3 linked regions of the Canis lupus familiaris genome follow. The protein of the gene in region 3 purifies or fractionates together with the protein of the main gene of each other region. This does not show direct contact. Links are inferred from orthologs where the notes say so. Each region holds a gene or a part of one and is shown on either strand. Other genes may lie near its edges.

The links.
Region 1: the proteins of MAP4K4 (region 3) and RAP2C purify together in Homo sapiens (affinity purification with mass spectrometry; 3 studies listed by BioGRID and IntAct, counting the BioPlex papers as one, with this or other methods). This does not show direct contact. The link is inferred for Canis lupus familiaris from reciprocal best matches to the Homo sapiens genes MAP4K4 and RAP2C.
Region 2: the proteins of MAP4K4 (region 3) and STRN3 purify together in Homo sapiens (affinity purification with mass spectrometry; 4 studies listed by BioGRID and IntAct, with this or other methods). This does not show direct contact. The link is inferred for Canis lupus familiaris from reciprocal best matches to the Homo sapiens genes MAP4K4 and STRN3.

What each region holds. Positions count from the first base shown.
Region 1 is NC_049260.1:104,062,637-104,066,157, reverse strand, and holds part of RAP2C (ras-related protein Rap-2c), read left to right. Parts: intron 1-1,955; coding exon 1,956-2,234; 3' UTR 2,235-2,275; intron 2,276-3,521. UniProt on the Homo sapiens protein: Small GTP-binding protein which cycles between a GDP-bound inactive and a GTP-bound active form. May play a role in cytoskeletal rearrangements and regulate cell spreading through activation of the effector TNIK.
Region 2 is NC_049229.1:10,381,910-10,385,430, reverse strand, and holds part of STRN3 (striatin-3), read left to right. Parts: intron 1-3,270; coding exon 3,271-3,438; intron 3,439-3,521. UniProt on the Homo sapiens protein: Calmodulin-binding scaffolding protein which is the center of the striatin-interacting phosphatase and kinase (STRIPAK) complexes.
Region 3 is NC_049231.1:42,160,820-42,164,340, forward strand, and holds part of MAP4K4 (mitogen-activated protein kinase kinase kinase kinase 4), read right to left. Parts: intron 3,221-3,521; coding exon 3,029-3,220; intron 972-3,028; coding exon 854-971; intron 540-853; coding exon 369-539; intron 1-368.

The DNA of each region.
Region 1 (3,521 bases), on a different chromosome or scaffold from region 3:
CACCTTGGGGTGTGTGAAGGAAAGTTACTAACTGAAAAGATTATTACCTAGAATTAATAGCCTATAGAAAGCTACCGTGACTCTCCTCTTCTGCAGTTGATCCAAGTTGTTTCTGATAACACTGACTATATTTAAACAAAATATGTGGATCAGAGAACACCGGACAAGTGCAAATTTCTAACCCTGGCTGGGTGGCCAAGCTGGAGGTGGTCCAATTTCTTCTGAAAAATCTGTCCTGTCCTTCACTGGGAGGCAGACCGAAGGTTTAACATTATTTTAAGAGATGCAGTAAATGTTGCTATTTATTCCTTGAAAATAAATAACCTCATATTGACCCATTGTATTGACCTCCATTGATTTAGGAAATGGATAGTTTTTCTGCATTTAAAGGTATGAGCTTAATGTTGCTTAAGAGACATTAAGTGCTTTACCAAATACAATGTGCCAATTCCACTTCGTATTCAAATTACAGTACTCTAGTGAAGTTTTCCAGTAACCACATATAGCTACTTCACGATTTTTTTTTCCTTTAAAGAAATGAGTATAGTGACCAAACCAAAGTACAGTTTGTGTGGGTTTGAATTCCAAAGCAATAGTAGTATCATAACAGCATTTCCCCCCCAGAAAGTACCAAAGTATCAAAGGTGCTATTTGACAGGCATTTTCTTTCTAAAGGATCCTCAAGAGATTTGTTATTCTATTAGCTGACTCTCTTGAGGCTAGAAGTCTTTTGAAGGATTTTTTATATGATTTCCATTATATATGCTGCTGTTTTAGGCATAAATACGAAGTGAAAAACTGACATTATTTCAACAGAGACAAACTCTTTCAAGCCCGACTATCATAAATTTGGTTTCTCATTTGAACTTGTGTTTCAGTAAGGACACGGGGAAAAAAGCTTAACCTAGAAGATCAAATTGATAACATGAGCAGACAAAATCGTTGCGAACATCAAATGGTGTTTTCATACATATTCACAGTCCTCTGCTTTTCCTCCTTCCCACAAGTGAATATTCCATTTACTGTTAACTATTCAAATTAAACACGTTTGATATTTAAGTCAAACCTTTTAAGTCATAGAAAATTAAAAATATTGTGAAGTTAGTATTAAATCTATAAAACTGCCTTAAATCAATACTCCCCACCCCACCCCACCCCCCGCCACTAAAGTTGATGCTACCTGAGAATCAGCAAGGCTCTTTTTATCAGTTGTAATTAGAAAAAAATAATACACTTGGGGAGAAAATTCAAGTTGTAAAACCTAACTAGGCAAAAAGAAGTATGACTTTCTCCCTGCCCAGACTCCTCCTAGGTGTATTTGTCCCTCCCAGGAGCTGCTCACCGTTAATTTGGTTTCTAGTGTATTAAAATACACTAAAATACCTTAAAAGGTGTTTGATTTTACTGGGATGAAGGCCTACCATTATATTTAAAATGAAATGTTTAAGTGTATAAATCTGTTTTGAATTGGCCTTCTAGGCATGACCCGGTGTTTTTGTTGCCACCTGAAACACTTTCTCTCAGGCACTCTTGCTAAATGGCTAGGAATGCCTAGATGCCACAAGCCTGTGGCAGGATAACAGGTGTTTTCAGGAGTGCTGACAAGCTGGCAGGTTTAAGGCAATACCTAAACATCCTTATGTACAAATGAATTCATATTTGGGAACTTTTAAAATCAGGACAGACTAGGGGAAAGAAGTATGAGTCCTAAGGTTGGTGTGTGCAGCCTACATTTTATATTCTTGACAGAAACCCAGCAGGTGGGATCTGTGGAAATTATCAAGCTCCTACTTCAGTGGAGAAAAATGTTTATTTTCTCCATTTAGGTATATGGTTTTATTTTGGAGTCAGCTTTCTGTAATCCCTGAGGGATGACTTTTTGTGATATTATAATACTTCTGTTATGGTCATACAGACAGCATAATTTTATTTTCTCTTTGTGATTGTTTGAATAGGATATCAAGCCCATGAGAGATCAGATTGTCAGAGTGAAGAGATATGAAAAAGTCCCACTGATCCTAGTGGGAAATAAAGTGGATCTGGAACCAGAAAGAGAGGTTATGTCTTCAGAAGGCAGAGCTCTGGCTCAAGAATGGGGCTGCCCTTTCATGGAAACATCGGCAAAAAGTAAATCAATGGTGGATGAACTTTTTGCTGAGATCGTCAGGCAAATGAACTATTCATCCCTACCCGAGAAGCAAGATCAGTGTTGTACAACTTGCGTTGTCCAGTAAAAAAAAAAAAAAGAAACCTCAATCATGGCCATACCGAGCAGGTTAGTTGTCAGTGGAAACTTATGAGTCCAAGAGTGTTTTGATTTTGATCGAATATGACAAAAAGCTGGTTAATATTAATACACATTGTGCTACCTTCAATTTCCTTATTTGTTTTTAAAATAACATTTCCCTTAGCACAAAATAGTCACCATGCAATGAAGAAAATAGAGATAAGCAAAATGAAGGTAAGAGATTTCCTGTATTCCTATCACTAAGATATATTTTTAAAAGTGAATTAACTGTTCTCTTTCTGCTTCATTGGTAACATTCCTTTGGGTGGGGTGAGTTAAAGGATAATACACCTTTTCCCTGTTCTAGTGATTTCACACATCCAATAATAATTTCAGAAGATGATTGGTTTTATGTTTTCGGCACTTTTCTGTCCCAGGCTAGAGAGCTGCTATAATTGAAATCATCAATTTACTAATCACCCAAGTGCTTGATTTAATAGGATGATTATTTAATCAAGTTCATCTGTACCTTGCACTTAAGAGATTTAAGTGACCTCTGATAATAACAAATTGTAGTGCCACAGCTTACCTTGACTTCATTATGAATATATGGTCCAATTGAGAATCTGGTAAAATCATCTGTGTTGTGTTAGAAGAGACACACCCAAGCCCAGGCAACGTTTTATTCAGTTTAATAAATAATGGAGTTATTAAGAACATTAACAAGACCTTCACACCTTTCATTGAGTTGAATGATAACTTCATAAAAGTTTTTTCAGATGAATGAGTTTTTGAAAAAGCAAGGTTACATAAGACTTACTGAGCATTTTAAATGGGATTCTTTTATTCATATCATGATCTTTTAATCTAGATTATAATTGGACAGATAGTCTCACTTAGATAGTAACCCTTACATAACAAGATAAAACAACCAATATCCTGGATGACTGTGAAACCACAGCAAATGGCTGACTAGCCTGACAATCTCAGGACTGGAATTGATTGTTTTGAGCCAGGACTGACCTCAAGTCTAGGAGGCAGTGTTGCAAATGGCAACAGGCATTTCAGATTGCAGTGATGATTCCTAATCAAAGGTCTGGCTTTATATGTGCTCCCTGAAGAAAAGAGTAACCATCCCTAATTTATCTTTTCAGACAGATACTGTCAGGTACTGTTACCTTTGAAAATGAAGGATGACAACAGTGCTTTATTCAAAATGCTTTCACACATCAGCTATTTAGCATACTGGAATATGATGAAAACACATTTATTTTCTAATACCTGGCTACATCTG
Region 2 (3,521 bases), on a different chromosome or scaffold from region 3:
GTTAGAAATTGTAATAAACAGTATGAAGATAAAAGTAATATGAAAGAGAGTCTCTTTAGATATAGTCCAAAACAGTGACATTTAAGACAAAATCTAAAGGATGAAAGGAAACCTTCAGGGGTTCCTGGTGGCTCAGTCATTTGAGTGTCTGACTCTTGGTTTTGGCTCAGTTTATGATCTCAGTGTCGTGGGACTGAGCCTGGGACAATCTCTGCACTAAGCACAGAGTCTGCTTGAGATTCTTTTTCCCTCTGTTCCTCCTGCTCGCTCGCTCACTCTCTCTCTCTTTCTCTCAGATAAATAAATAGATAAATAAATAAGTAAATTATTTTAAAAAAAAAAAAGAAGCTTTTAATAAAGAATTTTAAGCCAGGAAGTGACCAGTAAAGGTGGATTTTAAAAGGTGACTCTGGTTATTATAAGGAGAATAGATTGGGGTGGGAAAAGTGAAGAAAAGAATACAAATATAATGTTATAATGTAAAGTTGTAGTGTAAGGGTCTAGTAGACTAGGTGAAAGGTGATGTTTCCATGGTCATGAGGACAGTGAAGCAGTTGGTAGCAGAGTGGTTGGGAGAGAAACGGATTTGGGATGCACTGGGAAGTAGATAGGATAGGCAGAATCTGGTGATAAAGTGGATAGTGATTGAGTGGACAAAGTGATGGGTAAGTGATTCTTAATTTTGTTACTTTGTAAAACAGCTTTATTAAGATATAATTCACATGACAAAATTCACCTTTTTTATGTATACAGTTCAGTAGTTTTTATTATATTCACAGGACTGTGCATCCATCACCACTAATTCAGGACATTTTTATCACCACTTCTGAATTTTTTTGACATGAGCAGTTGGTATATAATGGTAGCATATTGAAATGGGGGCAGAACAGGTGTGAAAAGATTAAAGATGATGGCTTTAGATTTCAGTCATGTTCAGGTTACTACTATCAAGTAGTTAATAATCAAGATAGGAGAATGGATTGTATAACACAGGGGAAGTTATGTTGTGCAGGGCACAAAGGGAAGGCAAGTACGGAGGAACTCTGACATTGGGAGAGTGACTAGAGCAGGAGAGCCAGCAAAGAAAACTGAGAAGGAGAGAGACCAAGGTGGCTCAGCGGTTGAGCACCTGCCTTCGGCCCAGGGCATAATCCTGAAGTCCCGGGATCGAGTTCCCTATCAGACTCCTTGCGTGGAGCCTGCTTCTTCCTCTGCCTGTGTCTCTGCCTCTCTCTCTCTCTCTCTCTCTCTGTGTGTCTCTCATGAATAAGTAAATAAAATCTTATAAAAAAAGAAAACTGAGAACGAGTGGCCTGTGAGGAAGGAGGAGGTACAGGAAAATGTGGGATCATGGAAGCATGCCAAAAGAAAAAAACATTTTGAGAACAAGGTAGCAATCTGCACTTTCATATTTTGCTAAGAGGTCTAATATGAGGATAGATAGCAAAGTTCCTTTTTTTTTTTTATATGACAAATAGGTCACCTGGGTCTTAGCGAGAGGTTGGATGCTGGGACTAAGATCAGAGCAGAGGGTGAAGGGACCTGTGGGCAACTTTTCAAGGCACACTCTGGATGAAAAGCAATGTGATGAGAATAACCAAGAAAAGAAATGTTCAAAGAAAGAAAAATTTGGGGAACCTGAGTGGTTCAGTCGGTTAAGTGTCTGCCTTTGGCTCAGGTCATGATCACAGGGTCCTGAGAAGGAGCCCCATAACAGGTTCTCCTCAGCAGGGAGTCTGCCTCTCCCTCTTCCTCTATGCTTACTCTTTTGTTTTCTCACTCTCTCAAATAAATAATCTAAGAAAAGAAAAATTTTATTAAACTTGTTAGAAGAAAGTTTGTCATTGGTGATTTTAGCAAGAGTTATTTTGGTGGAAAAAAAGTTATTTTGGTGTAGTGATGCTATGAGAAACCATGTTACACTGATTTAGAGAGTGAATGAAAGGTAAAAAAGCATTTTACTCAATATGCTCTTCTGCTATCTGTTGGAAGGGTGATACAAGGTTTTTATTTGAGTCAGTAGATTCTAGAGCATATTTGTTTGCTGTGGTAATGATCCTAAGGAGAAGGAGAATTATTGTATAGTAGGGAAACTATAAACATGAAAGCAAGTTAGTAGGTTGAATGGAATCCAGAATTTACCTGATAGAATTATCATTTGAGAAGAAAGTAGACAGTTCTTCTATCTGGAAGCAAGGAGTAAGGTGGCTCTAGACACTAGTAAGTAGATTGAGTGGAGGAAAGACAGGAGAGGGGTTCTTAATTTCATTGCTGTATTTTCTCAGTGAAATCGATAATCAGAGATAATCATTCTGAAGAAGGGAAGTTGGAAACTGAAAATTCTGGAGATAATAAGAAATAGTTGTGGGAAGTCGGAATTTTCTAAAGAAACAGGATTGTAGGCCAGATGGTGCACAGTGTTATTATTAGCCACCATGTCCATCAAACGGTAAATGGATACGTAAAATGTAGTATATCTATTCAATGGATATTATTTGGCATTTAGAAGAAATTCTTTAAAAAAAAAAAAAGAATGTTATAGCATGTCTCTCATGTACTGAGAGACATGCTATAGCATGGATGAACCTCGGAAACATTATGCCAGTCACGAAAGGCCAGTTGTATGAAATGTCCAGAATAGACAAACTTAGAGAAACAAAGTAGATTAGTGGTTATGTGGGCTGCAGAAAAGCAGGAAGAATTGGCAGTGGGGGGTGGGAATGGCTAATAAGTGATGGAAATGTCCTCAAATCGATTGTATAATAAAAGCCATTGAATTGTACACTTTCTTTTTTTTAAGATTTTATTTGTTTGAGAGAGAAAGAGGGCGAGCAAGAGTGGGGGCAGACAGGGGCACAAGGAGAAGGACAAGCAGACTCCCTGCTGTGGAGCCCAACATGGGGCTTGATTCCAGGTCCCTGAGATCATGACCTGAGCCAAAGCTAGGCATTGGGCAGCTGAGCCACCCAGGTGCCCCCTCGAATTATACACTTTAAATTGGTGAATTATGTGATACGGGAATTATATTTCATTAAAGCTGTTTCTTGAAAGTGTATGTTCTTTATAGAAAATTCCAAGAATACAGGAAAGAATTATGGTGGGGATAAAAAATAACCCATAATTCCACAATTTAAAGATGACCACTTCAGTTCTTCTTATGACCATTATGGGTAGTCTTTATACTTAATTATATGGTGAGTTATCTTTATCCAAAACATTTTTTTCCAACTTCTTTTAGCTAATTTGTGTTTGTTTGTTGTTTCTTCCCAGAGCCAAATGTTCTAGCTGGCACTTTAGTTGCACATACAGATGCTGTCTGGGGTCTTGCTTATAGTGGCATAAAAAATCAATTACTGTCTTGTTCAGCAGATGGCACTGTTAGGTTATGGAATCCACAAGAAAAATTGCCATGTATTTGCACTTACAATGGAGACAAGGGTAAGTAAATTTTGCCCTATAAAAAAAAAAAAACGCTAATTTTTTTAGAATTTGGAAGATAGAAAGGACAAAGCAGATGATTA
Region 3 (3,521 bases):
GAAGAGCAGGGAAAAAATGTCAAACTGAAGCATTTAAAAACAATCCAATAGGCTTCTTCATTTTCCCTGTAAGTAAGGACCAAATCAAATGTCCTCATCTTTTCACTTTTTTTCTTTACATGAAGAAATGGGAGAGGAGTTTCCATTCCAATACCTGGTGGCTGAAAAGAGTGCAAGCACGCACATATACCTGCATGATTCTGCAGGAGAAGGTAACAAGGGTACGCATTACAGAAGTCTTCCAACTTATCTGTCTCAACAACTCTTTACAAAATCCCCCAACTGTCCAAAATACTACCTTCTCTAAAAGACCAGTCTACCCTCAGGAAAATAAAAAAATGACATCACAGTGGCCGTAAGATACCTACCCCATAAGGCAGCACACAGAATCTCGGAGTTAAATCTCTTCTTATATTTACGAATCTCCGGGGTATCACTCTGTGGCCTAGTGTTGGTGGGATTCACATTGACCACTGAGCCCTTCCGGGTAGGATCTTGCCTTATGGCTTCTGGTCTCATTCCATCACAGGAAAATCCCACTAGAACAGAGTACAATTGAAATTATCTTCTGTACACACAAATGCTGCATCTGTCTCCCTCTCCTACCACATCTAAAGTAAATATTCATATGCTATAATGTCAAGGAAAAGAAATTTGTAAGAAATGTATATGGAAAAGGGAAACTGACTATGCAGCTCATTGCAAGTAAAGCAATGCAAACGAGATGGGTGTTTCTGTATCCGAGGTCTGTGCCTGCACACCACCACCACGTCATGCCTAAGCCATCAGAAAGAGCAACACAAAGTGACCGAGTCCTATTTGTCAGCTGCTTTCTTGTCGCTGGTTTACTTACCCACAGAAGTCACTGTTGTCCCACTAGATGGAGAAATCTGTAGTAATCTGGGGTCTATAAAAGGTGTAAAGGAGGAGGAAGATTTGTGTTTCTGGAGTGTGCTACTAGCGGACTGAGTCTGCAATGTAAATTTCAATTTTATTAATACAAATGACATTAAAAAGATGAACACAAAACATTTCAAGCCACTTCTCTACTGCACAGTTTCCCACTAGCAAGCCCTGTCCCTCCTGCATCATTCCCCCCAAAAGCTCTCTGGGGGAGGGGGGCTCTGCATGTGCACAACACACCCCACCAACAGGCCGTACAACCTGGAACCACCAAAAGAGCTACATCTCTTTTCAGAAATACTGTTCATCTAAGACAGGAATGCTGCGAACTACCAACAAAATCTATATTTCACGCTCCTAGGTTTTTTGTTTTTCTTTTTAAGTAAATAATTAAAACAAAAACTCCTAAAGGAGGTTTGAAATGTCTATCTTAATTCATCAATTTCTGAATTTACTCCTCTGTCTAAAAGAGGCCAATTAACCTATGTTGGAATATTGGCAAATCTTTACTTTGTATTATTTAACGTGAGCCTCTTGCCAGAAAGCTACAGAAGCTTTGGCTACCACCGTTTTAGGTGCATCATCAGTAAACCCATATTGAACAGGGGCTCATTAGTGAAAGGTGCAAACGACAAGATATGGTACATACTTTAGCTCTTTTAGGAGCACTAGTGTTTTGGTTAATAGTGTAACTTAAGACAAAAAAAAAAAAACACAAAGAAAGTGAAACAAATTGTTAAGTGGAAATGTAATGACAATTAAAAACAAAACAAACAGAAAAATAAACTTGCCAGTTTAGTGAGTTAAGGGTTATAGTAAATACTGTACATTAGAGCAAGATGGAGCCAAGTTTAAATATAAATATAAGGAGAAATGTTGAGTGTAGGTGGCATATATCACTGGAGAAAAAAAGAACACTTCCGATCAAGTGCTTTAGTCCTGAAATCTTTCGCCCTCCGTGGGCAGCTAAAAGTCACCGTGTGCTAGAGCCCAAGCCTGCCCAGGTTCCCAGGCTTTCTCCTCCCACTGGATATAGCCGCCTGCTGGCAAGCTTCCCACCCTGCCCTATGACCAATGGCCAGTCCATCCAATGGCCAGTCTTATGCAAGCCCACCTTACTTGCCCCTGGCTCCTCAGGGGGAAAGAATTATATTCTGATTCTTTCTAAAAAGGGAACCAACACAGGAGCAGGTAGATACAGGCTGGGAGTAAATGTTTACATTAACAAGACTGGCTGAAGCTACGTGCCACTTTCAACCTCGTTCAACTGTTAGACAAGTGCATTTCAACCAAACTTCCCAAGAAATCAAACTGCTTGTTTTAATTTAGTATAGGGTGCTCAAGGGGGACTCTCTCACTGCACTGGGGGCATAATCTTGTTCCAAAGAGCAAAGCATCACCCAACTAGTACCCAGACTGAGTGAGCACCACAGCCAAGCCTTCAAACGAGCACACAGGATTTCCCACTCAAAATTTTAAATTAAAAGCATGCTCAGATCTTTGCTCTTAACACCCTAATTTTCTAGATTTCCCTAAAAATCATTTGGCCTTTACTTAAACTCTGAGTGATTGCAAATAAGTCCTTTTTAACAGAGTGGGTGAAAACAAAGGATTAACCAATCAACAATCTTCCCCCATCAAAAACAAAAAGCAACCCAGGCCTATTTGAAGGAGATTCCTATAGAGGATAACAAGCGTGTCCAGATAAGGCCAAGTCAGCTTAACCAATTTTTTCTGTATTTTATTTTTCAGATAAAAAGAATCAAAAAAGCAGATTCCACAAAGGACTACAAGAATTTCATGCCAAATACATAATGGATCTGAGAACACAGCATTTTATTTAGACTTTTATAAAATAAACTGAATAAAGAAGCCATGCAACTACACTTATCTAGAGAAAAGTAAACAGTGAACTGGCAAGTTGGAGGGACATTGATCTAGGGTTACGGGATTTGTATGCAGATCTGAGACATGTTACTTGGGGTTGGGGAGAAGGGTAGGTGACAGAAGAAAGCAGGTGGGGAGGGAGGGGTGAGGGGCGTGGGAAAGGTCTCCTCTGCAAACTAACTACTAGGCAGTGCTGGTCAAACCCTAGGAAAGCAGCCAGCTGTGGTGCGAGACATACCTCATTAGTAGTGAGCTTGTCCTGGGGTGTCTGTGGGGACATGGTGGGTGTCGGCTGGCTGGAGGATGGGGAGGAGGAGGTGGAGGAAGTGGAGGAGGAATGGCTTTGCTGTAAGAGATCTGGCAAGAGGTGAATGCGACCGGCAAAGCCATTGCTCTCATGATGGCTGGCGCGCTTTTGGTCAACTGTACTCTGTAGAAAAAACAGGCACACTCGTCTCGCTCAAGCGCTGCTGAAATTCCCTATGACCCTACTGATAACTGACTTTAAGGTGCTGTGTGACTTTTCAAACTCTGTTAAGTTATCAAGGAAAGACCGGAGGAAACTGGCCGGAATTGTTCACACTTCCTCGCCAAATGCCTCGCCTGAGCCAACAGAATTCAAAGTACCTCATCTGGTGGCCATGGGACTTGAGCAGTGACTACCTAATCTGGTTTCTCTGCCGCACTAGCTATTGTTACCAAAACCACTCGCCTTTTTTTTTTTCTTTAAA